Drosophila melanogaster: one gene and its partners. The protein of the gene in region 1 interacts with the protein of each later gene in a pairwise test. Each region holds a gene or a part of one and is shown on either strand. Other genes may lie near its edges.

Evidence for each region.
Region 2: the proteins of Ntf-2 (region 1) and CG6891 interact in a two-hybrid assay, tested with the Drosophila melanogaster proteins (one large-scale study listed by BioGRID).
Region 3: the proteins of Ntf-2 (region 1) and CG11581 interact in a two-hybrid assay, tested with the Drosophila melanogaster proteins (one large-scale study listed by BioGRID).
Region 4: the proteins of Ntf-2 (region 1) and CG43894 interact in a two-hybrid assay, tested with the Drosophila melanogaster proteins (one large-scale study listed by BioGRID).

Annotation. Positions count from the first base shown.
Region 1 is NC_004354.4:21,032,491-21,042,366, forward strand, and holds Ntf-2 (nuclear transport factor-2), read left to right. Parts: upstream 1-2,978; 5' UTR 2,979-3,123; coding exon 3,124-3,231; intron 3,232-3,340; exon of another isoform or gene 3,341-3,600; intron 3,601-3,908; coding exon 3,909-3,980; intron 3,981-4,048; coding exon 4,049-4,147; intron 4,148-5,119; coding exon of another isoform or gene 5,120-5,230; exon of another isoform or gene 5,231-5,504; intron 5,505-6,255; coding exon 6,256-6,369; 3' UTR 6,370-7,225; coding exon of another isoform or gene 7,226-7,443; 3' UTR 7,444-7,456; intron 7,457-7,524; 3' UTR 7,525-7,545; coding exon of another isoform or gene 7,546-7,669; 3' UTR 7,670-7,894; coding exon of another isoform or gene 7,895-7,948; 3' UTR 7,949-8,977; downstream 8,978-9,876. Other genes in the region: CG15449 (uncharacterized protein), read right to left, coding at 7,226-7,443, 7,546-7,669, 7,895-7,948.
Region 2 is NC_004354.4:18,772,585-18,782,577, forward strand, and holds CG6891 (uncharacterized protein), read left to right. Parts: upstream 1-2,643; 5' UTR 2,644-2,994; coding exon 2,995-3,045; intron 3,046-3,913; exon of another isoform or gene 3,914-4,271; intron 4,272-7,048; exon of another isoform or gene 7,049-7,261; intron 7,262-8,096; coding exon 8,097-8,420; intron 8,421-8,493; coding exon 8,494-8,610; 3' UTR 8,611-8,761; downstream 8,762-9,993. Other genes in the region: CCKLR-17D3 (Cholecystokinin-like receptor at 17D3), read right to left, coding at 628-1,201; CG18259 (uncharacterized protein), read right to left, coding at 9,192-9,273, 9,330-9,993.
Region 3 is NC_004354.4:14,174,179-14,180,428, forward strand, and holds CG11581 (uncharacterized protein), read left to right. Parts: upstream 1-2,744; 5' UTR 2,745-2,768; coding exon 2,769-3,773; 3' UTR 3,774-4,278; downstream 4,279-6,250. Other genes in the region: CG1368 (uncharacterized protein), read left to right, coding at 649-651, 793-1,350.
Region 4 is NT_037436.4:12,887,305-12,892,966, forward strand, and holds CG43894 (uncharacterized protein), read left to right. Parts: upstream 1-2,465; 5' UTR 2,466-2,919; coding exon 2,920-2,980; intron 2,981-3,038; coding exon 3,039-3,167; intron 3,168-3,235; coding exon 3,236-3,753; 3' UTR 3,754-3,801; downstream 3,802-5,662. Other genes in the region: CG14120 (uncharacterized protein), read left to right, coding at 1-1,863; CG14118 (uncharacterized protein), read left to right, coding at 5,409-5,556.

The DNA of each region.
Region 1 (9,876 bases):
CAGGCTTACCACACAGCTCGCAATAGAAATATCGATAACTATCGACGTCTCACCACTCTGCACACCTAAGATCTCAAATAATCAAAGGAACAAAAAAAGGTAATCAAAAGCATTAATTGCAAATGAACATACATGCGCACCCACCCAACCTAGGATGCCCTGAGGATTTTACAGTCATCACCCAATATAAATAAATATAAATATAAATATACCAAAAATTACAAACAGTTGTCATCCTGAATTGCCCATTTTGGTCGTTAACCGCGGTTCATGTGGAAAATATCCTAGTCAGAGGCAAACGAGTAAGAATTTCAAAACAATATAAAAATATATATGATATTAATTTATTGGAATTGTAATTTATTCAAATAAAATTAAAAGTGTGGAAGCGGAGACAATTCAGGTCTTATTCGTAGAGTGAAAGAATTAAATTTAATTGTAAGTTGCAAAGCGAATGCTTAGCAAACCCTTGACTGAAATTTACTTCTTTATGTGTTAAGCTAAAGAGGGCTCCTCTTATGTATTTCTATGAATTGAGTGGATCGTGCATGGATGCTGGGATAAGCCAAGGATTTGAGCTTCGTAAGCGGTTTTGACCCTTTGGTGGGAGTCGTGAATGCGGCTGCGGATGTTTATGTCTGGTGGATTGGGTGCCCTCTTGAGTGGATCGCGCATGGGTACTGATCAGCCGAGAACTTCAGCTGCGTTAGCGGTTTTGACCCTTTGGTGGGAATAGCGAATTCGGCAGCGGATGTTAATGTTTACATTAGGGCAGGCTGGATTTTTTATTGTCACCAGAATTGGGGTTCTTATGGGATACTTGAATTTATGACTTATATCCTAAGGCATTCTATGATTTGGTTTATGCAAAGACACTAGAATAACAAGATGCGTAACGCCATACGATTTTTTGGCACACGATTTTTTGGCCGTGGCTCTAGAGGTGGCTCCAGGCTCTCTCGAATTTTTGTTAGAGAGCGAGAGAGCGGAGAGCGCTACAGCGAATAGCAGACAACTGTATGTGTGCACACGTATGTTCATGCATTGTAAATTTGACAAAATATGCCCTTCACCTCAGAAGTTCTTAGACTTTAAATCTATATTATTTTTGATCAATTGGCACCATGCGAAAAAATCTTGTTTTGCATTGCAAATCCTGATCGTCCTCGCGAAGCAATGCTTCACGGCCATACCGCGGGGGGTCCTGGATTTGCCCTCCTTACTTTTACATTGTTAATCTGTTAATCTTAATCTTAAATGTTCAATAGACGAATTAAAAAAAAAAAAACCTAATCCTGTGTAATCAGAGCACTGGGGACGCGCGCGAGTAGCCGGGCGAATCGAGTTAACGCTCCTGGAAAACCCGAAAATTTTCCGTGTCGCGGCAGCTAAATAGAGACAGGAGTGACTGTCTCTAACACACAGTAATAGTGTAAAAATCACGGAGCAGACCAATAGCCAACCCCTCCGCTTATGAGTCCCCCGTCGGAACTTCACCCTTCACACCCAACCCTTAAGTCCATGACGCTGCGCTTGCTCTCTTGACCAGCCGGGCAGCAGCATAATAAAAACCCATTTTGCGTCTGAGCCAAGGTGGCCGGCGGAATGGTTTGTGTCTGAGCCTCATCGGCCAGCACCGTAACCATCACCTGGCGAATGGTATAGGGCCGCACACCTTGCAGTCCAAGGTTCTAAGGACCCCACCCTATAAGCCAAACGATGGCACCCCCAAGGGGCCATTATAAGTGACCTCCCCCCCAAACAGAGCCCAACCAGCAAGGCCCCCTTTTCTAGAAATCGAGGAGATGGGAGATATATTATACAACGGGGTGAGGAGCATTAATCTGGCAATGAAGAACACATTTGCCAGATTGAAGGATCTCCAACTAAAGCTGCGCGTGAGGCTGCCGGAGGAGGAGAATTCGCATGCCAAATGCACCGCAAGAACTGATGCTAGCCAACAGACCATCCCTAATGGCCTCTTTAGCTATGAAGAACCGAGTAAGGGCAAAGACGGTGTCAAACCAAAGATCGCACGGTGATGTCCAACGCCCTGCACTCCAAGGAGCTGAAGTTGGCGTTGCCGACTCGACCAGCAAGACGGTAATAATGCTGCTCAAAGGTGCCTTGAAACGTGCGACACATACTGAATATGCCATCCAACTGTTTTTCTGTTTTTTATTTTTGTTCTTAGCTAAATGTAATATGTCAAATAAACGAATTTAAAAAAAACCTAATCCTGCGAACCAAACATAGGTGTGTGTTGTGATGGAGGCAACTCCTGCGCAGGCGCGCGATGTCCGTAAATGTGGTGAGCATTGCCACGAATTGTGCGCGCCAAACGCAAATTTTCCTGCTGCGATGCATACGCACTGCCGGTGTGACCAGATCGGTCACTCTTATCGATATCGTTACCAATCCAGCTTACTAGCTTTAATAAATTCTATAAACTTGTATATCGAAAATAAAATTATTATTAATATTATATTAATATCATTTCAAATGGCAATGAATATTTAATTTTAGTAATAAATTGGGGTGGATATATGCTTTTCCGAATGTGAAGAAAACATCATCCTTTCAATATCTGGTTTATCCCTCCCGTCTGAAAATTGTGAAAATACAAGCGATTCCACATTATGAATAAACGGATCTAAAAATCAACTTTAGATACCTTACAATGGATTGTAAGTTGCGTTAGCTTAAGTATGACCTGCAATTAAACAACAAATCAAAGAAAAGTCGTCCCGAGCGAGGAAAAAAAATAATATATGAAACACAAATAATTGTTTTCCAAATGACCAAGTATTACGCCTGACAGAAATGCAATAATTTGTTCTTACATTTATGTGACCCTATCATCATCGAATCATATTTCAAATTCCAATTCCGATTTCGTTATTAGGACATCGGGCTGTAGCCCTGGGTATCGTAATCGATAGTTGCGAAATAGCAGTCAGCGATAGTGTCTGACAAAATCGACGTTGTTCCACCCCTAACAAAGAGTGGTGATCTGAGCGCAGTCGGTTGATTTCATTTGGTTTTTTTTTTAATTATTCGTGTCGCCGCGATCGGATCGGATTTCCCATAATCTCTGAGCGTTCCGCCTATCCTTCAAGTGAAATGTCGCTGAATCCGCAGTACGAGGACATTGGCAAGGGATTTGTGCAGCAGTACTATGCGATATTCGATGACCCGGCGAATCGGGCGAACGTGGTTAATTTCTATAGCGTAAGTGTTGTTGCTTCCCGCTTCTGCTCGTCGCCTTTCATCTCTCCTTTATTCCCGTCTCCGCTTTCGCCTGCACATTTTTCGCTTGCCATCCCCATCACACGCACAGGTGACGCGCGGCGCGCCCTTGAAAAATTCCGCCTCCTTTCAGCAGAAAATGAATAAAGAAACTGTTGCAATGCGAAAAAGAGCGCGAAAAAGAGCAGCTGGAGATATACGGTCGGCGTATCCGTGATATCGTGGGAATAGGATGAATGTTGATAGGGGCGGGGGCAGCGTTCGATTCTCGAAGTTTCGGGTGACACATTACGCCCATGCTCGCATAAATAAATACACACATACGAAATATATGGCCAACATACAACTGCGGTTAGCACAATAGGGCCCAATATACGATATAAATTCGTGAAAAAATTGTATTAATATCTTGAAAAATATGGCATAATTGTGTTTCATTAGTTTCAATCAATTCAGTTTTTTTGTCACATAAAAGAGTAAATGAAAGAATAAAAAAGTCTATAATGATAAAGTATTGAAAATAAAACTATCTGTTTGATATGTTTTTAATTTAAATATTAACAGTTTTATAACCAATTTTGTTCTTAATAATACGAAATATCATTACTAAGTAAAACATCATCATAACACTTATATCATTATATATTTTATACTTCCAGGCTACCGACTCATTCATGACCTTTGAAGGCCACCAAATACAGGGGGCACCCAAGATTCTGGAAAAAGTTCAGGTAAGTCCTGATTATATACAGTCATGGGCATATGTATAATATTTTGCATACCCTTCCTATTCCTGCAGAGTCTGAGCTTTCAGAAGATTACCAGAGTGATAACCACAGTGGACTCGCAGCCAACTTTCGATGGCGGAGTTCTGATCAACGTCCTTGGAAGACTACAGGTAAAACCAGAATTCTCAACAAGAAAACTGTCCTAAACTCGCTGTCGGGGGGAAATTCAATGACTGCCTGCGGCGGCGGTTAGAATATTAGCACTGCCGACCAATTCAATCGATTTTCTTTTCAAGTTTTGAATTTTATTTTTGGTCTTTTCAACACGTAAATGCTTGACAATCGTTTTTGTAACAAATAGAACGTTTTGTTTTGGCTTTCACATAAGAACATTATTTATTTTGCACTGTTTCCCATTTATTTGTTATCATGTATGGGCTTTATTAAGCCTGCCACTTTATTCCATTAAGTGTTCTTCATTCTAAGATACATTATACCCGTTACTAGTGCAGTTAAAGAGTATACTATATTCGTTAAAAAGTATGTAACATGTAGAAGCAATCGTTTTCGACAAAATGTAGTATATATATTCTTGATCAGGATCAATAGCCGAGTCGATCTGGCCCTCTCCATATGAACGTCGAGATCTCAGGAACTATAAAAGCTAGAAGGTTGATATTAAGCAGACCGATCCTAGAGACACCGACGCAGCGCAAGTTTGTTGATCCATGTTGCCACGCCCACTCATATTGTTCAATATGAAATTTCGCGTTCTCACTTCCAGTCGGAAAAGTCGACCATAGCATTCTCTCTTGTTTTGAATATAATATCCATTGACTTATTGATGCAGTTATAGTAGGTAGATAAATGAAATGAATTTTAAAAAGAGTAACTGCCTCAATGTATTTTACGATACCTTATTGTTCAAAGTGGATATATGTAGAGACGTAGAAGCAAATTTCAATCGCCCATCACTTAAGATATGAAATCATTCATCATTCTTCCGTAAAGTCGTAAGGGCAGTGCTATTTGCCGACCGCCGCTGCATCTATTATTCCATATAAGTCACCTGAATCTGAATCGAATATCTCAATTCTGGTTATTACAAAACGAAACACAAATGCCAAAACAAACCAATGCAGACCGACGAGGATCAGCCGCATGCCTATATTCAGACCTTCGTATTGAAGCCGGTGGGCGGCAGTTTCTTTGTGCAGCACGATATATTCCGACTCTCGCTGCACGATGTGTAGCACCAGCGAGCCCGACCTGCCACGCCCAGTCCACAGACTCCAGCGCCCGGCTATATGTGTGTAAATCGAGATCGAGATCAGCAGCCAAACGATCAGCCAGCAGACACGAGACGAGAGCCAGTTAAAAAACGAAAGAAATCCATATCTAAGCGATAAGATAGTTCTGCTGCTTGTCGACCTTATGCCGCCCAGCCATGCCCACTCCGCCCACATATACAAAAATATTTATCCTTGGCGTCTCGTCGTCGTCCAATTTCTTCTAATTATTCTCACAGTACGTGAATGTCCAACGAAAATTAATCAAATCAAAATGTTGCGCATTTCATTTCGTGCATGGTTTTCGTTGATTTTGAGTTGGATTTGCTCTTTCTTTCGGTTGGTCGCTGGGGACCTGGAACCTCCTAATAATGCAATTTTAATGTAACACAAACAATTTCTGTAACCTCTATTGCTTTACATTTTTAACTAAACGGTTTATATTTATATTATATTTTTAGATGCTTTCAATTGATATTGCACTTATAAAAATTCTGTTTTTCATTTGTTACAAAACCAAATACCAATTGACTAGTCTTAACTTGCATATTGTTTTGTTCAATAGCTCGAAGAAGAGAACTGTAAATATCCCAAATTGTTAAGCGCACCCTAATATGCCTTAAAAAAAAAACTTTCAAATGTTGTTCAATTTTGAATGGAACTGAGGAAAGTTTTGAGAAGTTCTTATATCAGTGAATAATAATTTTGCTCGCACATTTGGTATAAAGTTTATTCTGCTCGTGAAAATGTTTTGGAGTTATGTTCAATTTATCGAGCGAGCCCTGTACAGTAAACACGCACCTTACACGATCAATCGGCTGCCAGTTGTACACCCTTTCCCTCTGACCCTGGCTTCAAACTGTGTGTACTCCATTCATATCTAACTCAATACGTTGAAATTGGTTTTTCGCACGCTTGTGTTATTGACTTTAAATGTGACTGGTTTGCCTGGCATCTGCTAACGTATTTATGATTTCATTCCTTTGCAGTGCGATGACGATCCCCCACATGCCTTCTCGCAGGTCTTTTTCCTGAAGGCCAACGCAGGCACCTTCTTTGTGGCCCACGACATCTTCCGTCTCAACATCCACAACTCTGCCTAGGAGCACTCCACTTACCTACGTATGCACACCACTCAGCACCACACATAATCGACATCCAAAGATGCCCAGCGCCAGATGATAACAACAAGCTCGGCAGTGGAACTCAGAAAAAAAAAATATAACAAAGCCAGCCAGCGGTCTCACGATTATCAGCAAATACAAAAGTTAGAAAAAGAAAAAAAAAAAAAAAACAATAAAAAAATAAGAAAATAACGCTAACTACTATTACGATGTCAACAAAATGGGCCGCCAGCTCACCTTCATTTGTGTCCCATTGTTGCCGGTACTCTCGCTTTACGATCCACGGAACCCTAGAATTATATGTTCTGCGAACACCTGGATCTCGCGATCTAATTTAGCTAGGACTATCGAATTTGGTGGTATGTGCCGTGCTACAAGCTCGTATTTCGAATTCCCGTGAAATGAGCAGGAACAGCAGGCCGGGATCATCGCCTACATAAGTTTAGAGTGATTTTCTAGACCGTTTATATTTCCAATTGAATTATTTGTACTTTAATTATGAGGATTATTTTAGATAGCCGTATTGCAAATGTATTGTGTCGAGTGTCTCGCTCTGTAAACAATTACTTGAGTACCGGGACTGCACCACACACAGTCGCAAGTATCGACTCTTGCTTTCTCATATGACTAATTGAGCGATGGCGAATTACTTTTTATTGAGAGAAAAAAAAAACACTTAAATATAAAGATAAACGTTAACAGTTTGGTTGTTTGTATGATTGGCGGAATGGCCAGTTGAACCGGAAAGATATGTATACCCTTATAAGCTATTAAATGCATACGAAAGAAGCTCCAGCGGATCTGGCCAGTGGTTTCCGTCTAAAAACTGAACGATTCACTTGTCGCGAAATGTGAACACCGCATCGAATCCGAATAGCACCCCATTGACGATGGACAGCGAGGCCTTGATGAGCGCGAGATCCCGAGTTCGGGTGCGGAAGGAGAACTCCCAGGCCTCAATGATGAACACACCGCTGGCCACGAACAAGGTGCAGCCCAGGACGCTGAAGAATATATCGATGCGCTTGTGAATGGGTGCCCGCATCAGAACGCCTGCAATTGCAAGGTATCTTAAGTAGATTTGTGTGCAAATTTCGTTTTTGGTTAACTTATTTTAGTATTTTAACTCTTAAGGACTGGCATTCCAAGGCGTACCTGCAAAGACCCCGATGACCACTATGATGTAGCCCGTGAAGGTGCCAGTGGCCAGGAACGAAGTCATTATATCGCGATCGTTGAAGCTGTAGAAGTGGAGCACCAGACACGCTACCGCAAAACCCTGGAAAAGTGAGGGGATTTTCATTTGTGGTGCTTCTTGGTGTTCTTATAATTTCCGAGTCTATCTGGTATTTCGGGTCTTTTCTTTTAATTCCCAAGTCGTTTTTTTTTTTTTTTTTTTTTTTTTTGACAAACCATTGTTTAGTAAGCATACGCGTTGCTTTTTGCATTAATTCATTAATCCTTAGAACTTGCAGTAAAATCACTTGAAAAAAAAATCCTTTACCAGTTCGAGAAACTTGACCACATTGAGGCGGCCTTTTCGCTCGCCATGAGACATTTTGTGAAACTGCTGCCGCTGACAGTCCTCGAAAATGTGGTCCAGCTTGAAAATGTACGTGTCGCAACTCAAGAAAGTTCCAAAGTTCTTCCGATTGGCCTCTTTGGAGCGTGCTCGCGACGGCAGAGCGCTGGACAAACTGATTCTGATTCGGAAATGGATGACGGATGGCAGGCAAATGCGGCTGCAGTTTGCAGTTGGGCGCAGTCGGGCCCAGCCAGCGAAATTAATTAATTACACTTAGGAAATAGGCTTTTCATTCTTGTTCCCATCCCTGTGTATCCGCCCACGTCCACCACGTCCGCCGGGCCTCTCGGTTCCATCTCTGAAGTGGAGACCGTCTGCGTTCTCCGCTGCCAGCTGCACTCGAGCCCCATCCCTTCCAGCTTGATTGAGTGGAGCATAATGTCTGTATCTGCATGCATGCTCTGTGCCGGTGGGTGGCCAGTGGACAGTGGGCAGCCGCCCAATGGACTCGGACTCATTGTGCTCGCATTGCCATTACCCCAAATTTGCTGCCTAACCTTCGGGGCCCAAGATCGGAGCTAATTCGCGGAATCGGGGCCAACGGGTCGCCAATTTTCCGATGGTAATCAAGTGGATAATGGAAAACATATCGCCGGGGAAATCACTTCCTCAAATCATGAATAATCTTATGGACTTCATGGGAATTATTAGGTTGTAAGGTTGTGTTGCAACGCTTTTCAGATATAAAAGTGGATTTGTAATGCATGGAATATATTTTTTAATATATTACAAGTACTGTACTTTTTAAGTGCAATTAAAAGCTTAGAGCAACATAAAAAGTAAGCCGAATTTTATATACCCTTCACCTATAGTAACTTAGCTACCACTAGCTTGGACGACTACAGTCGTCCTGTTTTAATAAAATGTATTTTATTTCTATTTATTTTTCCTGTATTTTTTACGAACGTTAAACTGCAAATCCCATTCCGCTCGCTCCTAGTTCAGCTAAATTATATAGTTTATATAAAATTAGATTAGTAATTACATTTCCGACCCGGCCTGTTATTGCCTTATCTAATACCTGCAATAGGTTTAATAGTTTAAGTAAATACGATTACGTGGAAATAAACAGACACGGTAAGATTTAGTTGGGTGTCAATTCTGACTAAAAATATATATCTAAGTAATATATACTTTGTTCCTGACTAAAACAATAACACTTCCTGTGTTCTATGGTCAATTTGAAAACATGCAAAATAAGTTGTTACAGCTGAACAAATCTATTTTTAATTTTTAAATTAGTTCTCTATAGAGTGTTTATGCCACATGTTGAACCTATTTATCTTAACTTAACATCAACTGCTTTATTAATTTCAAAACCTAACCATTAAAATAAATATATGTTTTTAGAATAATTTCGGCTGGTAGCAAGCAGAAGTACATATACGATTATTTATTATCAAAAGCCCAGCTTATCAGTTTGAAGGCAACTTTTGATATGATTCAACGCAGACACAGGTGCGCATTGAAACTATATTTAGACCTTCTTATCGCTTCAATGTTTTGATTAATCCGTATTTTCTGTTTCAATTTTGAAAATGCATTTTTCAAGACCTTACTACCAGAACGAAATCCAATTGAGCTTTGGCAAGCTTTTTGTTTCAGCAATTTTACGGTAATTAGCAGCAATTCCCATGCTATTGTAGTTCTATTAAAAGTTAATCGCCAGCACTTTACAGTGACAGCAAAACTAGTTATACTAGTTGCGAACTATGATCGAAAATGATACCCCACCGAGCTACATGGTTACAAGACTAAGAATTTTTCAGGTACAACTTTCACTGAAATATAGAACTCCGAAAATAATGCATTGTAAGAGAATACAAGAAAAATTATTCAGCATGTTGATAAATTCAAATTAAATAGAAGAAAACATTTTCCGAACTACCTAATCTATATAA
Region 2 (9,993 bases), 2.3 Mb from region 1:
GCGACTCTTAAGGATGCACGCTATCCGTATCCTGTCCACAGACAATGGCGCACACTCTGTCAATAACATGGGCCCACATTATGATTCTCATTTCCATTTTCAGTTTTCTGAGAACATGCGACACGCACAGGGATATGGATACGGATGTGGGTATGGGTATGGTGGTATGGAAATAAAGGGGTAACTAGGTGGAGATGGAAACCAGGACATTGTATGCCCACCTTTTACACAACTTGTTGTTTTGCGCGCTTTATGAGCTCTTCCCCGCAAGACAGGGCCAATAAAACGATCCACATGCGACGATAATCGTAAAAAATTATTTTAATGCCCCACCAACGAACCTAAATGCGCAGGAACCCAAGAGCCCAAGAACCTAGGAACCAAGGAAACTACGAATCCCGGTCGCCCCCAACTCACACGCGCCATAAATAGGGCCCTCAACTTATGTATTTGTAATTCCAACTAATTGAAGGCTACAGAAGATGGGGGAATTGGGACAGCTAAGCTAATATTAGGCGGTTACTTATAATGTCCGAGAACGCAGCTCCCTCCAGTGGGACAGGTCGTTAAATAAGCCAGGCGTTTAGGCATTTAGTGGTTGCCGTTTACCGGGAGGACTCCACTCACCTTGCGAGAACTGAAAGAGCTTGCAGAGGAACTCGCCAAAGATGAAGTTTCGCAGCAGGGTGCCCACCAGGGTGACGGGCATGCAGAGCACGCCCAGCAGCATGTCCGATATGGCCAGGTTGAGCAGGAACACGTTGGTTATGGTACGCATCCGGCGATTCTGCACCAGCGTCGAGATGACCAGCAGGTTGCCCAGCACGGCGAACAGCAGAATCATGCTATAGCTGGGTATCAGCCAGACGGGCATGCCAGTGGAAGTACTGGAGCTGGAAGCGGGTGTGGAACTGGGACTTGGACTTGAACTGGTGCCCAGGGAGAAGGCCAGTTCGGTGACCAGGTCACTGGGCTCGGTGTCCATATAGCCATCCCTATCATCATCGCCATAGCTGCTTGTCGCATTGCCCGCCAAGGAGACAGTGCCTCCGTTTCCAGTTCCATTGTAGGGTGCCACGTTGAGCGACACTATGTGACCCGCCGCACTTGGCGCATTGGCATAGTAGTCGAGCAGTGCCCTATAGGCAGCCGCTGCAGCCATGGCCGCCTGGTCGGCATCCCCCTCCTCGTAGTTGAACATCCCGGATGACCGGGTGATTCGTGGCAATCACTGGCCACCACCGCCTGACATGTCCCGTTGCGGGTCACCGAAAAAAATAAAATAAAATTTCACTCAATTGCTATTGAAACGGCGACGCTTGCGCGCAGGCTGGCAAAGATTGCGATATGGAACTCGGGGGTATCCGAGCACACGAGCTGGCGGCTTTGGCTGCCAGGAGAGGGCTCGCCTGCTACCGTTGCGGGTAACGCGTCGTGGGCAACTGACGACTGGCGGACGAGGACGACGCCTCCGCTCCGCTGGGCTAGCTGCCGCAACATGTTGCGTGGGCGATGCCGAATGGCGCAAACTCACCACGGCAACTTGTGGCTAGCAGCATGCTGCCAGGCAGCCCTGTTGCCGGGCAACTCCCATGTTGCGCGGAGGACGTTCCCTGCCGATTGGGACAAATTAATACGGTGCACTGCATCATCCATGGCGTCTGCAGCGGCGGAGCAGCTGCTGTTCGGCCCACGCACCGCGCTAATCATCAAATCAGCCGCATTCCTACGGCACTTGAGTGCCAGAGAATACAATCTCGGCTCGTTATGTGTTTGCACAAATGTTCTGCGCTAATTCCACGGATCGCATTCCCAGCCGACAAGCTGGCAGGGATCAGTGCTGATCTAGACATAGTTTTGGATATATAGCGATTCCGATTAGCACCTATAGCATCTATTTCAAAGACTACCTTTTCGCTTGCAATTGTTGCTCGTTTTTTCGGCGCAGGAAGTGAATGGAATAGCCCTCGATGAAGGAAAATAACATGACCGGGAGCTGCAGTGGTAAGACGTGACTCCACTGGGATACTGGATATGACTATGCCAGGAATCCGTGTTGCCGAAGAAACCCAATAAATCCAATAAATTCATGTTTTGATAGAATAGATAGAATTCACTTCTCGTAAGCCTCTTCACCATCGAGGAAGAGATCTTCTTCAAGGGATTCAGCTGATCCTTAAGGACGTACATAGTTTAGATGGAGGAGTACAGTCGTTGTTTTTCTATCCATCTGACTATACATATATTTGCGCACGATGTTATGGTTTCCTGTGGCCATTGCCAGTTAAGATGGCTAACACGAAGTATTTATGCAAACTTCATTATCATTATAGGAGCATCTAGCAGACTAAATTTTCTCGCGGTGTACGCATAAAACACTAGCCAACATCTGGCTTTTTTTGGTGTTTCCGAAATGCCTGCACTGAAAATGAAAATGAAAATAAAGCCAAATGCGGCGACATCGTCGCAGTTCGCCCGCTCTCGCTTGCTCCCCACGCAGCCGTCTCTGTCGCACCTGCTGTTTGTCTAACAGCTGCCGTGGGGCCTTCTGGCCAGTGCATCTCGCTCGCACGCACGGCGACTGCGCCGCCGACTTCGGCGGTCGACGGTCGGCACTTCATTCGGAGTTGCAGACGCCGGCAACGCCGCATTCGTGAGATACAACTCGTGGTGGTCGGACGAAGTTCAGCGGCTGCTCTAATATCTGGATATCTGGAACTGTGCTGGTTCTGTCCATCGCTCTTTGTGCGCTTGGATTGTGTTTTTTTGTTGTTTTTCTGGCGCTGTGTATTTTTGTTTTCGTTGTCATTGTGCCACTCTGCCACTCTGCCACTTTGTCACCTTGCAAACGGTCAACTCTTCCCGCCAGACCAGCACTCCGTTCCCCTTCGAGACTCACCCGCGATCCCAGGAAGCTGTTCCCAAGAGCACCAGCATCCCAGCTGCGCATTGAAAACCATATCTACATCCACATCCAGAACACAGCGCACCAGCATGTCGGACGGCATCGAGGTCGAGCAATTGGTGGAGAGCAAGCCGAGAAGGGTGAGTAGTGGGGAGTGGGTTGGGCACACATGGAGTTCGAGTTGGAGTTGGAGATGGATGGAGTCGGTAGTCCTGCTCCGGGCAGGGACCATGAAATGTGTGTGTATACCGGCAGGGGACGACCGAAAATTAAGAATTATAAAAGATTGGATGGGGCAGCCAGAAGTCCAGAGAGTCAGAGAGCAGGCCGGAGAGATATCTTATAAATGCACCGAAAGAAAACGGGTACTCAGTATGCTGATCACTTTTAAGGCTGAGCCAATCCGATGGCACAACCTTAAAATGGAAGAAAGTTCTAATCACCACTACATTATAAATACCTACAATTAAAGAATGCTAAAAAAAAATAATATTCTCTTGAGAATAATGATCGATTTTCGAACTTTAAATTGTTCAAATATATATTGAAAAATATTGGGGATTAGTAGAAATATACAATAATATAAAAATTCAATTACCAACAGTGGTATTGAACTCGGACATTGGCTTTAAGGATACAAAATACAGTTTTCTTCCGGTGTACACACTGGAGTTGCTGAAGCCCAGGCCCATGCGGCGTGTGTGTATATCGCTGGGCATGCGTGAGTGTCTGTAAATAACTCTGACATTGGCTCGCCGGCGACTCCGCTCCACAAGAACCGGCCCCAGAGGGCCAGAGGTCCAGGAGGCGGGGTGGCAGCTGGGTTTTATGGCTCTGGCTGGCTGGGCGGAAAGGGGCAGGGCAGGGCAGGAACAGGGACTGAGTACCGAGGGGCAATATCATCTTGGCTGGATGCGATTGCGGGGGCGGATGCAGATTGTGGGGGCGACTCCGAATCCGAATCCGAACCCAAAAACTGAATCCGAATGCGACGCCTTCGCAGCGATGCATATCAAGTTCAAGTGCGTTTGCAGTGCGGCTGCCGCTGCTGCACTTGCTCGCTGGGATCTCGAGACACCATCGATACCCAACGAAGACGCTGCGGTTAATGCGGCGCAGTCCGTCGCCCTGGCAAACACGTATAGCTTTCCAGATTACGGTATTTAGCGGGCACTGGGAGCTGGGTAAATGGTTGCAGTGCCATTATCTTGCGGGTACTTCGTTCAGCTGATCGCAAGATCTGCGTTTCATGTGACTTTTGGTGCACAGCACTTGTTCGCCAACCTAATCTCTATGGCATCAAACAAAACGATTGTGCAGGCCAATAAATATTACAATTTCGAGGTTTCCAAGTGCAGGCAAACAAGTGAGTAATAAAAGTGTATGGAATCGATGGGGATATCGGCCATTCCACACCCTTTCAATGCTCGGGAATCGCTTCCTGACGCGCCAATTTTGGTCATCCACTCCCCGAGTCGTCGTCGTCGTCGTCACCTTCAGGCGGCATGAATCACGCACTCGGAACCTCGTTTCCCGCAACCCGCAACCCGTACCCCATACCGATACCCCGTACCCATCAGAATGACCATCCACAACCCCATCCGGCATCCCAGATCCCCCGACTCCGGGCGTCTGGGGCGTGAGCAGCCACAAAACAGTTTGCTCCTTTGTTTCCTGCACTGTTTGTGCTAGTGTGCGTGGCGAATGAAACATCGACGGCAGCGGAATAAAAATAAGAAATAAAATGAAATGAAATAAAGTAAAGTAAAGTGGGGGAAAAAGAACATTGACATATCGGCGGTCCCAGACCCGGAGCAAGTACGTCATTGCGACTGCGCTGCGGCAACTGGCAATTTGTCACAACATTGCCAATTATTTTTTTTGCTTGTTTTATTTATTTTTTTTTTTTTTTTGGACTTAGTCTGGCCAAGGCGAAGCGGTTAATAACCGATTCGCTGCAATTTATTGGTTATTTTCCAATTGCCTTGCCAATGAGTCAGTTGCATCGACCCACGAATATTCCGCATATTGTGTTTTCACTGTGCATGTATGTCATATATATATCTGCATCGCCTCTCCTTTATTTTCCTTTATTCATGCCCGATCGTATTATTTGGAATTTTTTTCGTTTCTTATCTGAAATTCATTAGTCAACATAAAACACTTTCGGTCCACTTGTACATACACAATGAAAAAGCGAATAAAATACAAAATGTTTAGTGCAATCGAAAGTGAATACTCTAACTTTTATTGTTCATACTTCAGTATTTGCTTTATGAGCTCACGATCTATATATACCATACAATTAGATATATAAACTATACAAACAGAGTTAACTTGAAATAATGTCAGTGGTGTATACCAGGCATCGAATGATAAAAGATACGGATATAATACCATTCACTCTGTAGTTCTCGATAGCTTGCTGTTTACTTAAGGACAGGATTATTTACATACAATACGTTCTCATAGATGTTTATTTTAAAGGTATCCCAAGAATTTCTACAACTGCGATACCTTTCACAAGGGTATCAGCGTTGAGTTACGCAGCAAGTCAGTTTCAAGCACCTGGCGCTGGGGATTCGGTTTCGTTTTCGTTAGCAAATTGTTATTTGCTGTATTATGCTTGGTTACGTTTAGCTGCAGTTATAGCCGCGTTTGATGCATCGCCGGCCCGCTCATTGCCAGATATCGATGGATATAGCTATAGATACTATAGCTACATATATCTAGCTGGCAATGCAGCGTGCTGTATGAATGCACACATGGGCATATATGGCTCATTACGTACGAATCCACATATATAGATAGATATAATACATATGTACATCTATCTATCGGATATGGCCGCAAGCCATTTGAGTAGCGCGAATTGTTTGGCAGATGGCTTTCCTGCTGGAAAGGTGGCTAACTCAATGGATCTGTTAGGATTATTGGTGGTTCCAAGTGAAACTGAAAATATGTATGCATATACATTTCCTGTCATCGCTACAAGGTTACTTATCAGACTGTTGCTCACTGTTTTCCATCGAGAATCACGAATCACGATTAACCGTATCAATTATGGACTGGCTACTGTCGCTCGCTTTTCTATGCGAATCTTTCGAGGATGACGCACTCTGACTTTCCTTGAAACTATTGTAGTTTCCCTTTTTTCGATATATTTCCTGAAGCCAGCGCAATATCTCGATTCCTATGACTAAGCGTCAATCTCTGCTGAATTTTTATGGCGTGTAAAATTGGAACAGGCGAGCCCTACAGATTTAACCGGCACTAATTGCCCGGGCGATCCCAAGAACTTTCGGTAATAAATCAATTACAGTTCCTTTAGTTTTGCGACAGTTTTCTTATCAGAGCAAATAGATGGCATTGCGTCAATTCCGGAGGTGGGGCTATCCGAGCCTATCCTATCCGATCTTTGGGTGCACTCCCAGCCCAACTGGAGTGATCTAATTTGTCGTGTTGTCATTGTGTCAGAAGTGGAGATATGGCCATATAGGCATATATATGTATATAGATACATATGTGCGAACGTTATCGGGCTTATCGGCTGGAAACTTAATTTCAGCTAATTTTAGCCAACAATTTGGCTCACGTACCCGTGGAGGTTGCAGGAGGAGCACCGACATTTCTATATACATTTGTATCTGCTATCTTGCTTGTTTGGGGGAAAATTTGTCGGGTATTTTCGGTGGGTCATTCGCTGCAACGGTTTCTTAGTCGTCCGCTCATTTTTGGCACAGTTTGCGTCCGCATCTTGTTCATTTTTTTTTTTTTTTTGCCTGCCTTCCGACTAATTAATTCAGAGCCACGAAACGGGAGATTCAGAGCTGTTCCATAGTTCTATGCGACGCATAGAATACACATACAAACTCCAAGTTCTTACTGCGTCGCGTTGTGAAAGTCGTCGCCCGAAACATCTTTGGGTTTAATTGTTTGGCTTTTGATATTTTCGACAGTCGTCGCTTTTCTAATTGATTTTTCTCACCAGACGCCGTACTCTCCGGTCATTGAACGCATTATAGAGCGATCTCTATCTCCATCTTCCCATCGGTATCTGTATCTGTATCTGTATTTGTACCTTTAGCTGTATCTGTATCCGTATCTCTGGCCCAGCTTCAATGTCTATTTATACGCGAGTCTAGTTCCTGACTCCAAGCCCGATCCATTTGGCTGGCAGTTGGACCAACAGTCATTTGGCTCTCTTTGTTTGTTGTCATCCCGTTCCGACGACCCCAAGTCACTTATCAAATCTCTGACCTGCTTTCCGCCGGCTGCTGATTGAAAATTGTCACGCGTAAATTGATTTTAATGCGGCGATCCGCTTAAGACAATAAGAGTGCACTACGTGAAAGGGTAGTTTTCCGATCCGTACTACAAGTATACTCGTATCAAAAACCATCGATCCAATCGCTTTACACGCTTTCCACGCATCTAAGCTGAGCCTAACTTTGTGCACATAATGCTACCCCAAAGATCACTTAATAAACCACAATTAAAATTAATCTTTAGCTAACCAAAATCGTATTGAGACTTGGTTTTTTACATTTCACTATCAAGCCATTCGAACTTATCAAGCAATTTAAATTCATTTACATATCGATATTTTTAAATCATCATATTTTTGGGCTTTGAACCAGAACCCTGAACCCTCATATGTGTGTGCTGATATCATTATCAAAAATGCTGTAATTTAATATGCGGGTATGTTCCAGTATGTTATCATAATAAAGCCTTTATTTTTTCTTCGAAATATGTACATATTTACATTGGCTACTTTTCCGCTGGCCCGCTGGTATTATGTTTATAAAGCACTAAAGCGGCAACAAATTGCTTTCCGTGAATCTGCCCGAACGTAATGCAAGTGGGCGATGCAATGGCGTGCCTATTCCCCTGGCCGACTTGAGGTTGCCTGACACGGAAACAAGTCGAATTGAATGTAATATAACCATCGAAAGCGAAAGCACCGCTTAAATCTGACTCATAGATGGCGCCGTCAAGAGTACTTGGCCCCGCATTGAGTACATACAATACATTTCGCTATCGATGGGCCAAAGCGGATGATCCATTCGCCTTGGCGAAACGATTCGGACTTGGAATACATGATTAAGATATATACTTCCGTCTGAAAGTTGCTTATAGTTCCCCTCTTCGCTTGCTTATAATCCTCTTCCCCCTTGCTCTTTCGCAGATGCCGCTGGCCACGTCGCTGGAGAAGGACTCGATTCGCGAGGCCTACGAGGATGTACGCTCCGATCTGACAGACACCGAGTGGGCGGTATTCAAGTTCGATGGCGCCCAGATTATTGTACATGCGCGCGGTCAGTGCTTTGAGGAATTCCGACAGCAGTTCGGCGACTCGGAGCGCGCCTTTGGCTACATACGCATCCAGATGGGTGACGAGATGTCCAAGCGCAAAAAGTTCATCTTCCTGACGTGGATCGGGCAGGAGGTGGGCGTCATCCAGAGGGCCAAGATGTCCACGGACAAGGCGCTGATCAAGGATGTCCTCAACGTGAGTAGCCAATAGCTAGAGATGCCAGAGCCCAGAGGCAGAAATAGATCCTCTCATCTCTAATCTCTTGCAGAATTTTGCCGTGGAACTTCAGGCGGGAGTGGAGGCCGAGCTGGACATTGAGCTCTTCCGTGAAGCACTGAACCGTGCCGGCGGCGCCAACTACGGAACGGGCATCCGGGATAACTAAGCGGCCTCCAAGTTACTTTACATATACATTTTTTTTTGCAACTCTTAACTGCTTACCAAACTGCTCCTTTCTCTTTAATTATTATGAATTAATTTTATGAAATTTAAAAACTGTACATTTTATGAAATATTATACAAGCAATTGTAACATTACTGGGTCCTCTTATTTATCGTATAATCATAATCCATAGTGTCATTCAAAAAAGGTAAAAGAAAAGTTTTCAATACCAAATTTCAAGAGCGGATGCAAAATCATTATCAATGCCATACATTTAATTGTGTATATAGTGGGACTGATGAATTACTTTGATGATAAGACAAAAATTTTAGCCACCTAATACTGAATACTGAAGTGGACAGATATGCCAGAATTTGCATTAGAAAATTCAAGTTTCTATAGTAAAGAAATGTTCTCGTTTAAACTAGTCTGGTTTTCTGAACATACGCTGGATGGATCGATTCGAATTTAATAAGCGCGAAATGAAAATGGACTACGTTGTTGAACTAAATACTACGGAGATGATGAAAATGATGAGAAAAATTATCTAGTTGCTTTAGTTCCCGGGCTCTGCCTCTCGCTTCCTAGCGGACCCTGAAGAGTACCGAGTGAAGTGCATCGATGTCCACCTCCACGCCAGACGAGTTTGTGGTCACGGTGCGAGAGCTACGGCCGAGAACGTTGAACAATACTGCTTGGTATCTTTAAAGCATATCACTCACCTGGCTTTGTGCACCGAGCGACGGGAGGAGTGCGGATTAACCAGCACACAGTGCATGGGCTGGTCATCGAACTGACGATGGTGATAGGTATCTACGGCCTTCTCGGCATGTTCCAGTGACTTGTAAATAACTTCGGCGGTGCCGGGACGCACCACACGAGCGTCGTACACTGGGCCGATGTCGCTAAAAAGCTCGCGAATATCCGCAGTAGTCACGTTAGTATGCAGATTGCTCACCAGCAGGCGGTATCCATCCTTTGTGTTCGACGTACGCAGCGACAATGGGGATGGCGAACGGCGCTTGTTCTTCGATGGAGCAGCTGCATCACCATCACTATCAGTACCGCTATCGCTATCCCTAGCACCACCGCCACCAACAGCCTTTCTCCGGTTCTCGTTGGCGTAGATGCCATGAGAAATGTGAGGATCCCTCTTACCGACAAACAGACGAGACCGCAGCGATTCTGGGAGTTTACTTGTGCTTGCTGTGTCGCGGTGGCGGCGCTCGAGAGGCTCCTTGGTGGTATTTGAGCGTCCAACTACGAGTCGGTTGGTCAGCGAAGGACGCTCAATGCGATTGCGGGCCGCCTCGTAAATGGAGAATGCATTGTTATCTATTTTGTTATTTAGTGGGGCCATGGACATCTCCACGTCGTCGCCGCGGT
Region 3 (6,250 bases), 6.9 Mb from region 1:
TTTTAGCCATTTTATTGCCAAAACCATCTAACTAAGTAAGCTCTGCCAATGATCTATGCTAGTTAACGTTTCAAGTTACCATTTTTTTTTCAAAACTCAGTTTTTAAGAAGTAAGTAAATATTTAACAAGTCGGCAGTTTTAAGTTGTAAATAGGTGATTAGCTCAAATGTTAGTATCTAAATCTTTTATATTATTACTTATTTTGCATTGTGCTACCACTACTACTTAATTGAACATTGCAAACGGTCTGGTGTACATAAACAATTATAAGTGAAGCATATTCTTAATTGAAAATACTTAAACTTTTTAACAGTTTTCACAATTAGCTGCCAACTTATGTGGCTATGTCCCCTCAGCCCCTCAGCACCAGTCAGCCGTTTGTTTGTCTTGATTTCATGGTGACGTCTTTTGCGGCGGCTTCTTCTTGGTCCGCTGGCCGCTTAAGCCTGCTCTTCTTCTTGCCCGGCGTCTGCCGTTAGTGCCGGTGTGCCACCGCTGCAGTTGGAACGGGCTCTCCAAAACCGGGGCTTTTCTTCGAAGACGGCCGGCAGCTATAAATTGACTGGCGGCTGGTAGGGACCGGCATCAGTCGCAGCCTCTAGCTCATCCAGCACAGTCGCTTGAAAACGCAGAAACCTCAACTCAAGATGGTCAGTGAAGGATTACAAGTTCAGCTTGAAACAAGGATACATCGATTTAACAATATTATTTGACAAAATTTTTTTTTTTTTTGCGGTGCTTAAAAAATTTGCTGTGTTTGTAATGTGTGAAGTGTGTTGTCCTACTTGCAGAAATTCCTTATTGCCTTCGCCCTGTTCGCCTGCGTGGCCGCCGATGTTAGCCACCTGAGCAACGAGTACCTGCCCCCCGTCCAGAGCTCGTACGCCGCTCCCTCGGTGAGCTACTCCGCACCAGCCGTGCAGCAGACCTACGCCGCTCCAGCCATCCAGCAGTCGTATGTCGCCCCCAGCAACGAGTACCTGCCTCCTGTGCAGACCTACTCCGCACCGGCCGTCCAGAGGACCTACTCCGCACCAGCTGTCCAGAGGACCTACTCCGCCCCCTCTGTTAGCTACTCGGCACCCTCTGTGAGCTACTCGGCTCCATCGGTCAGCTACTCCGCTCCTGCTGTCCAGCAGTCGTACTCCGCTCCATCGGTCAGCTACTCCGCCCCTGCTGTCCAGCAGTCGTACTCCGCTCCATCGGTCAGCTACTCCGCCCCTGCTGTCCAGCAGTCGTACTCCGCTCCTGCCGTCAGCTACTCCGCCCCATCGGTGAGCTACTCTGCACCCTCCGTGGATGTGGGCACCCAGTACGCCTCCAACGGTGGCTACGTCTACAGGAAGTAGGGATCTTCAACGAAGAGGCCTGCAACTGAACACGAAACAGTGTCCATAACTACATACTGCCCAAATTAACCATATATTTTTTTTTTTTGTTTTGTAAACTTTTGTTTACAACGAAATAAACCGAAACATCAATAATCCAAATAAATACTTTTGTTTTTAAAATGGGTTTCAGAGTTATAAAAACAAGCGTCTAATATTAATATTAATAAAATTTTTAACAAGTGTATCCCTATTCACTTTATATCAAAATTCCGGACCAGGATACCAAAATAGCGTACTAAAAACCACGCGCGACTTGAGTGCGGTTTGGTTGCGGTTTAGGTGCGGTTTTGTTGCGGTTTTGATGCGGTTTGAGTGCGGTTCGTTTTCAAAATCGAACGTCAAAAGCAAGTGCTTGTTGGTGCTTAATACTTCAGAGTAGACAAAAGGTGGCACTTTATAAGCCAATAAAAATATAATAAAGTATACGAATGATATGTCCATACAAAGTAAAGAAGATTTATTGGCATTAGTCTATAATGGTAATTTTCAAAATTAAAAAGCTTAATTCTTCGACTAGTTAACACTAAAACCTGTAGGACAAGAACATAAACATTTAACATACATCAATGTTTTAACTAAGTATTAGCGTTAAAAAATATAATATAAAGCTTTAATTAAGTTGGGCTTTTTATAAACAGCTTGCAGCTTTGATTAAACTTGGAAGCTGCGACTATTTTAAGCATTTTCAAAGAGCTTTTAGTTTAAATATAGCATGAAACTTTATGGTTTTCCTAGTTTTAACACTAAGCTTTTGAGTATTTCAAAACTATGACTTGCAGATACATTTTCTGAGAGTGCTTGGCATTTCTGAAAAATTATTTACTCAAGACTTTTTGAAATCATTCAAAACCATTATTTAGTATATTACAGTAAATAAAACGAACCTCCTCGACGTTTTTCCTGTTTTTAATTAACACCCTTTTGCTTTCAGGTAGTAATTTTTAAAATTTAATATTCATCATAAAGCTGAGCAAGAACTTGAATCTAAATCAAATAAAATGTTACCCTTTCATTGTTCTTTCTTTTCGTTTATTGAATCTTTTTCATTATCGCCTCTTTTCTTTGTGCGATGCTGAATTTAACATTCGATTTCGGCGTTAGTTTATTTATGTAAAATCCGGCCGCTAAATTAAATTTTATAGTTCAGTTTTGGCACCTCCCCTCGCACCTTCGATCACCTTTGGATTGGCGATTATTTATGGAACCTTTGTGATGATGCAAAGCAATTTCCGTTCGCCGAATGCGAAAGTGAAATGAGCCGGCCGCGAATTTATGTAATATGTTGATATGCCGTCTTATATATGGCGGATTTGGGGCCCGTGGCCGCATAGCCACCGTCGCCGTGCAAGTTCCCAGAGATCAAACCGGAGCTCGAGATGATGCAGCCATGGGCCGTTGTGGTCCTACTTCTGCCCCTGATCAACGGAGATGTGAGTCACCTGCCCAGGGAATATATACCGCCCAGTGCGGAACTGGAGCCAACCACACGGTCTGCTGCTGATGGCCAGGAGGTGCAGAAGGATCCATCTGGATTCTATCCATCGACTGGACTGCCACTGCCGCCGGGCTATGCCATTCCCACGGGCAGCAACGTTTTGCCACAGCCTGTCCAGCCGCCAAACTTCCCTCTGCCCATCTATCCACCATTCTACGGCTTCGGCGGAGGTCCTGTCGAGCAGGGAGGAGGACATGGTATTGGGCCAGTGCCTTCGGCCTATCCCAACGGAGGTGCATTCCCGGCGGGTCCTACCAATGGAGGCGCATTCGCAGGGGGTCCTACGAATGCGGCCTTCCAACTGCCACCAGGTGGTCCTTTCGGTCCGCAAGCTGGTAATTTTGCCCAGCCAGGTGGTTTCCCGCAGGCAGGTGGGTTTCCCCCACAAGGAGCTGGCTTCCAGCCACAAGGCATCCCTGGCAATGGATTCCCAACGCAAGGAGCTCCCTTCTCACCACAGCAGGGAGTGTTCCCATCACAAGGAGGTGCCTTCGGGCCACAGGGAATACCGGGCAATGGTTTCCTAGGAGGTAACTTCCCGCCACAGGGAGGGCCCTTCCCAGGATCCGCATATCCACCGGAGTTCTTGACAAACCAGGGACTTCCCCTCACAAATCCCCAGGGTCCCTTCCAAGGACCCAGTCCAGCAGGATTCAATGTGCCCGCAGGATTCGGCGGACCTGTGCCCGGCCAGAATCCCTACCAACAATTTGGACCCGGTTTCGGAGGACCCGCTCCGCCGGGCTACTCCGATGAGCCGGCGAAGGAGCAACCAAAGGACAGTGAGAGGACAGTAGTGGCACCACCATCGGCCGACGATCCCAAGAGTGTGGCGGATACGGTTTACGCATCCAATGGCGGCTATGTCTACAAGAGGGCCAAGTAATGCGATGGCTTTCGAAGCCCCAAATTGGGGAGTTCATCAAACATGTTCGCCATAAATTATGATCCATATTTTGTTTTTTTTTTTTCTTGTATTTTTTGTGCCTTTGTTTTTATTCATTTATTTGATCTGCTGGCCATAAAGATGCGGACAGACAAAACGATTGTCTCTATGCTAATCGAAATCTTTGCCAAAACTGACTGATAACCATAAACGAGACAATCTATCGTCGTGATTGATACATATATATAGACAGACCTATGTTTTATGCATACCCTGGCCAGACACATATGTGTTCATAAACTATGTTGTCTTCAAAAGTCAATACAAGGCGATTAAAGGCTGAAATAAAAAACACGATTAGTGGTTTGGGTGTGGACTAAAACCGAAGTCCTACGATAATTATGCACATTCACCATCAAGGTTTATTGAACTCTGATATGTTTCTGGATGGAATTAAGTTTAAACAAAATGGTACAAGAATTAAAAAAAAAAACATCCACAACTTAAAAGCAGTAATAGTTTATCATGCAACAACAATGGATCATTAAAAATGGATTTATGTTTATCATTTCATATTCTAAAATAAATCCAACTTAAAAACGAATAAATTCAAATGATTGTCTTACATGTATAAATTTTGAATTGACGTCACAGAAAAGAGGTAGAGAAAGAAGCTGCCCACCTAAAGGGCAAACTTAATCGATTTAAGTTAATTTCAGCGAAATTCAAAGAACCTTCTGAGTTAATTTTAGCTTCGCGATATTTTTTTTTTTTTTTTTAATTTGCCAAACTAGTTTCTGACGTCAAAGAGTTTCCCCTAAAGAACATACATACATTTATGATAATGAACTTCTTTTCGTGAACTTAAGATGGTTATCGAAAAGGGGATTTTTCCATAGTTTAAAACCAGACTTATTCAACTCCCATGTTTGGTTTCAAAAGTCTATAGACTTCAACTAGCCCGAATTGATTTTTTATTCATCTTTTTTTTTTTTTTTTGATGTCTCCACTGAATTATTTATATGTGGCTTTTGATTGTGTTGTTGTTATACAGTAAATACATTAAAAGTCTTTATAACAACTTTTTTATGGCTTTGCCAAATGGTAAAAAATGTCTTTTTGTCTTTTGGGAGAGCTTTTGTCACCTTTTATGACACGCTTCATCAACTTACATTAGTTGGTTCATATACTTACATCAAGTGGTTTATCAACTTACATCAGTTGGGCGGTTTAGTGCTGCTATTTACTTCTGGTTGCTTAACATTCATTTGTATTTAGTGTTTTACTACACTTTCAAGTAAAATAACCTTATAAAGTAAAACAATATATAAAATAATGAACTAATTTTAAAGTATTTTATTAAAGCAGTATTGCTCTTCAGGCAATATATCACTTTTTAACAAACTTTTTTGCAATTTGCTTACTTATTTAGATATAGATTGTAACTAGAACATGTATATTATATCTTATACATCTGAGTTTTTCTATCTTTCACTCAAGCTCAAGCCCTTCCGTTTGTCGTATATGCAAATCGAAAGTGGCTAATCCAAATCAATTCAGCAGCTTTGTTGCAATTTTCGCTAAAGTCGAACTCAGCTGAATATTCATCACGATCGTGAGCTATAGCTTTTGGATATATAGAGGCTGTTCGCACAGCAATTAGTCATAATTAAGGCAGACTGTGCCCGCGGTTGTCAGAGGCCCTCAACTTGACATTTTCCTTTGTGGACTCGAACCTTAACTTGTTTTCAATTTGTCACATTTCTGCGCGTTTTTGTTCACTTTTTTGTGCGGGGCGCGTGTTTGGGGCGCCAGGTGCAAAAGAAGAAGAAAATGATGATGACAATGATGAAGATGAAGAAGAAGTTCGCATTCAAATGAATGGCCTCCGAAGATCCGCATAGTATGGTCTTTGTATTATCTTGTAAGCCCATGACATGCCCATCATAATAATCACCGCGACACACGCCTACGAGATGCATATGAAATCGTATCGAATCCATATCGAGATCCCCTGATTACCAATAATATATGGCCCATTGAAAATGTCCGAAGGTTGGACACGTTTCTGCCACCGAGTGAGATCTCAGTAGATATGCTATATTGTTGGGAAATCGGCCTGGTAGGCCCGGGCCCTTAAACGATTAACATTTTATCATAAATTCAAAACCTAAAGCTAAGACAATGGACGAAAGTCGCAGGAAAAAATCGCAGATGCTTTTGTGCATAGAATGTTGGTGCCACTGAACAAATAAATTATATTTCATTATGCCAATGTTGCAAATAAATATTTATAATTTTCCAAAAAAAAAAAATGTTATCAATAAATATCATTTTAGAATGCAATTTTCAGTTTGGTTTCCTCACGTATTTAAACCTAATGTAATAATCTGGTAAGGCAATGTAACTTGCATTACCTGCTGAAAATATAAGTGCATTGCACTTAAGTCAAAGTGGCCAAGGTGTCAATTGACCAA
Region 4 (5,662 bases), on another chromosome or scaffold:
CAACCGGGCTATCTTCGAGGTGACTTCTATAGCGGCGAAGATGTCAATGTTCTATATGACCAATCACACCAGCTGGATGCATTTAGTACGGCCCTGGGATTAGATGCCAGTCAGTACTTTGACAGCACTAAGGATCTCTATTTGACCAGAGGACAGCTGGCAGCTCGTCTTGATTTCGTCCATAGTTCCGCCCAGAGAGCCACCCACTTTTATGTGAACGCAGTTCCTCAATGGAGAAGCATCAATATTGGAAATTGGCTTGCAGTGGAATCCAGTTTGAAGCAATTTGTGGCGGATGAGGCACTTAATGTGAGTGTACATGCCGGCAGCTATGATATCTCAACTCTACCCAATTCACAAGGTGTCCAGACACCTCTGTATCTGAATGCCGAGACCAAACAACTGCCAGTAGCTAAGATCCTCTATCGCATTGTTATCGATCAGGAAAGTCGCAAGGGAGTAGTTCTAATTGTGGTCAACAATCCACATATAACATTGACGGAGACCCTCGAGGATTATGTGATCTGTGAGGATGTGGGAGCGCAAATCGATTGGTTGGACTGGGACAAAGCAAACCTGCAGAAGGGCTACTCCTATGCGTGCTCTGTAGAAGATTTCATCGAAGTGGTTAAGGATTTGCCCACAGATCAACTGCAAACAACAGGAATTCTTGGTTTGACTGATCAAATCTTGGACAATGAAGTGTGCAGCTTTAAAGTGAACGGTGATCTTAAGGATCCGGCTCCTTTATTTGTAGTCAGGAGTGAATTGGGTCATGCGAGATATTTGGAACCGAATCAAGAAGGAGTAGTTCAGCTAAAACATGGAGAAGCCCTTGAGTTCCACTGCATCAATTCTTTCAGTGGACCCTTCTCTGGTTATACCTTCGTCAATTCAACATGCTGGCAACAGCAGAGCATCCTGGCAATGGGCAGTTTGTATCAGCTGCAGGACTTTGTCTGCACTTCCTGGCCAACATACACTGCTCGTCGCTCTGGTCGTCCCTGCAATGGTGGTACTGATCTGCTTGAAGTGGGCTTTCAGCTGTCATCCTCCTCGAGCGACGACTTCCTGCAGACCTATGACGTGTGTCACGATGAACTGAGCGAAGTCACCCGCTATGTGCATCATGTTTTGTACCCCGGAAGTGACCAATATCAGCGATCTGTATCCAGGCCATCCTTTATACCCGGCGACTTTTACGGAGGCAAGGATGTGAACACTTTGTACACCCAAGTTCAACAGAATATCACGGTTTCCGAGATTTTGGGCATGGATGCCTCACCATACTTCAACACCACTGGTAATGTCTATCTGGCTCGGGGTCACCTTTCTGCAAAGACCGACTTTGTCTTTGGGGCCGCTCAAAAGGCGAGCTTCTTCTTTGTGAATGCGGCACCTCAGTGGCAGACCTTTAATGGCGGAAACTGGGAACGAATCGAGGACAGTGTGAGAAAGTTTGTGGCGGATGAAAACATCACAGTGGATTGCTATACGGGCACATGGGGTGTGTCCACCCTGCCGGATGTAAATGGCATTGGAAGGGAGCTCTATTTGGACTTTGATGAAAACAACAATGGTCTGATTCCAGTGCCAAAGTTGTACTTCCGCGTGATTATCGATCGCGAGAGCAGAAATGGCATCGTGCTACTTGGAGTTAACAACCCACATGCCACCATTGAGCAAATCGAAGAGGAGTACATCATCTGCCAGGATATTGGCGCCCAACTGAGTTGGGTCAGTTGGACCAAAGAGGACCTAAAGAAGGGCTATTCATATGCCTGTACTGTGGAGGACTTTACTGCAGTGGTGAAAGACCTACCTTTACAAGACCTGTTTGTCGATGGAGTCCTGGGTGTTTAATATCAGATTTTGTGGGTGTGCAATTTCCAAAAAAAAAAACGAATTTCTTAATTTAAAACCAATAAAAAGACTATCTTAAAGAAAACAGGTTTTTATTGAAGGGTAGCCCTTAGGAAAATGCTTAAAGGCACGTTTAAATTAAGTTCTCATGGGCCATAAAACAGTGAAATCACGTTTAGCTTTTGTTCTCTTTGGAGTTTATTGCATGTTGGACATATTGATAAGAGTAAGGTTATCAAATGCTTGACGTTATCGTTTATGGCCGGGGTAGAGCTATTTATTTACCCAGCCATTGGATTATTTGCTCACGTGCCGCACGTTTCCAAAAGCCTTAATTTTTTCTGCTGTTCCAGTAGCCCAAGAGGCAGTCCCTTGGCCCGAATCGAAGTCCCAATGGCAGTGACTTTCACATTTTCTTATCGAAGCTAAGGAAATACCTTGTATTACTTGTGCGGTTCCCTTTGTTTATCTTATCGCAACACAATCGTCGCAGAACGTATGAAGTATACGCCTGCTTGGTTAATAATTATAATGGACTTTTTAGGGGGTAAACAAAAGGCAAAAACCGTAAATGAAGCAGATAGAAACCAAAATTGATTTATATTGGTCGAGTAATCATTCACTTAGAATTGTTGCGGATTCAACAATGCGGTTAAACTTCGTTTTAATTAATCAGTAATATCTATCAAGGCTGAAAGTGTGTGTTATTTTGTTAAGCAATGTTTATTTACCCCTGTTCAAGGCGTAGTTCAGAGACCGTTTAATAGATAGTTCTATTCGGCTAACCTACTGCTGAAATATTTAGGCAGTAACTTATTAATCGTGTAAGTTTTAATGTACTGCATTTAAACAGCCATACAAAAATATTCAATTAGCGCTGTTTAATGAACTTTTATTTATGTTAGAAAGAGTCAGAACAATAATCATCATATTTCGGTGATTTAATTTTGCAAATAATCATTACCGCAACTCATCAACCATGAAATATCAAAATGATATAAATATGAGGGATTTAGGGAAATGAATTTAGTTAGTTTCGGAATTTTACAAGAGAAAATGGAACTTGTTGGTATATATTTGATATTAGCCACGACGATTGTTGTCCAAGGATACAGAAGTAAGTCAGCGAACAGGATAAGGGATAAAATCTAAAAAATTCCCCACTATCAATACAGAATTTGGACTTAGTTGTGAGGATATTGCCTGTATATCTGGTAAAAAATGCATTGTATCCAGAGTTCCCTGCGAAAACCCAAATCAGCAAGAAGGAGAACAATGTGGAACCTATCCGGAGTGCCAATCAGGTTCGTAAAATTTTGTTTTTTCATCGGTTCACACTGAAATCTGGTCCTTTTCAACTGATCCGTTTCAGATCAGCTGGCCAGCGATTTCATCATCGACACTACACAGACCACTGCCAACACCCGAAACAGCATCATCATACCCAGCACTTCCACGAGTCGCAATCGGAATAATAGGAACAGTGACTTTAAACTGCTGAGCGATTTCAGTAACTCCGATACATTTGCCACCCATGCAGGCCAACGGCAGGCTAATGTTTTGGTTATTGTTCAAGATGGTTCCCAGCAACCTCAACAGCCAAATCCTTGGCTAAATCGAGGACAAAGTCCTCCCTGTACCATCAGTCCGCTCTACCCATATTCCTGTACTTATCCCCGTTATCCGAATTCGGGAGCAGGATTGCCTTCTTATACGCAGCAGCGATCGGCCAATGGGCCACAATTAGTTCCTCCCACTCCACCATGCTACTATAACTGCTATCCCAGTGTGCGGTCAAGTTCATATGGTCAATATGGATACCCCCTGTCTAGATCAGCCAATCCCTCATCAACCAATAACTATTTAATCTACCTCACATTAGCTGGCTAAAAGACCAGGAGCTTTAGTTATGTGCAAATAATAAATATAGAATCTATTATCAACCTTTTTTTTTCGTTTCTATATCTTCGCCAGTTTTGCACCGTTTCCGGCGAACGCCACAAATGCCTTATCAGCCTGTGGGGATGCCAGCTTCAATGCCACCCGGGTATCCACCACCTCGCCCACCGTTTCAAATGCAGCAGCCGCGTCAAGTTGCACCACAATATGTGATTCCACCTCAGCCCAACCCACAGTACGCAATTCAATACCAGGCCAACCGGCAATATGCCATGCAAGGACAACCCAATTCGGCCAATCCTTGGCTCCACTTCTCAGTAGGGATGTCCTATCCAACGTATATGAACTATAATGGACGTTCCGCTGGGAACTCACTTCCATCATTTTACAATCCGTACCCACCCAGTTATAGTACCTATAATTACAATATTAACTTACCCTTTTCGGGTGGATCTTCCTAAGATCTTCGATACTGGTTAAAAAAAATTCAAAGCTACTCAGCACCGGATGGACTCCTTCCGAACATTATTTCATTACTTTCAAATTTGTCGTTCCTAAAATTAATAGCTAATACATATATTTGTCAGCTTCTCTGGGGGAAACGATGACGGATTCCGAAATGGATTCTGATGCAACACTACCACAATTTCACAATCGATCGGCACGTCAGATTCCAATGCGTCCCATGCCAGGACCAATGCCAATGCCAGGAGCGCTGCCGTATCCTGGTCCTGTTTCAATGAATGTACCATCTCCGGGGCGTGCGTATTATCCCTCGTATATGGGACAACCTTATATGGGACAACCGTACATGCCAGGTGCCATGCCCATGATGCCAATGATGCCCCAGGGAGGTGGAACTATGGGTGGTACCAGCATAATTGTGGAGCCCTTAATAATCCTGCCAATGGGCATTGGGGCAGGCACGGGTACGGGCGTGAATCCAAATTCATATTATGGATCGAATGGAGCTTATCCCACGTATAACAATTACAATCCCTACAATACGTACACTACTGCACGACCCAGCTACGACTATAACAATTATAACAACAACAATAATAACAATAACAACGATTACAACTCATATGGTTAGATTTCAATTAAATGATCCCCGAAATCTACATGATCATTATTCATTTACAAATGAATCGAAAGCTGTCCAGGTATGAATATATTGTGTACATACATTGTTTGCCAGGTCATTTAACAATAGATTATTTTCGATTATTAAATAAGAAAAATGTCAAATATAATTGACGATTAATCTTGAATAAAATTATTGAGATACATCATTCGCGAGATAAATCACTTTTTGTTTTAGCTCTGTAAAGAAAGGGGATCGACAAAAGCAAAGAACTTAATGCGACCTAGACCTAAATACACATACATATGTATAAAGGTATATAGATAGAAAGAACTCGGAAGTACTCAAAAAATGCAAACAATCCAATGGTATTATATCTTTATTCTCAGAGAGATTACAAGACAAAGAAGCAAAACGAAAGAGAGAGCGAGAGAGAGAGAGAGATGTAAGATACAAGAGCACGAACTGAGAATATAAATAAAAACACCTGTTCACCAAACAAATAATTCAGTCGGCGGTTAGATAGCAACTTAACCGGTCGAGTTGAGTTTCCAACAAAATGATGCTTCAGTTTATCGGCCTAATTTTGGCGGTCGTGATTCTGCGAGAGATTCGGGCACGTGAGGCGATCGCAACCATTCCAGATGTGGGTCAGATAATCAAAGATCTCGATGGACTGCACATCGATGGAGAAATGTTTCATCAAGGTATGTGGTCGCCTAAAAGTTAATAACCATACGTTTATCCAAAGCAGACTGAGCTTTGTTTGAGTAGTTTGACTGTAGTGGTCACATTCGGAATGAAATATATGTA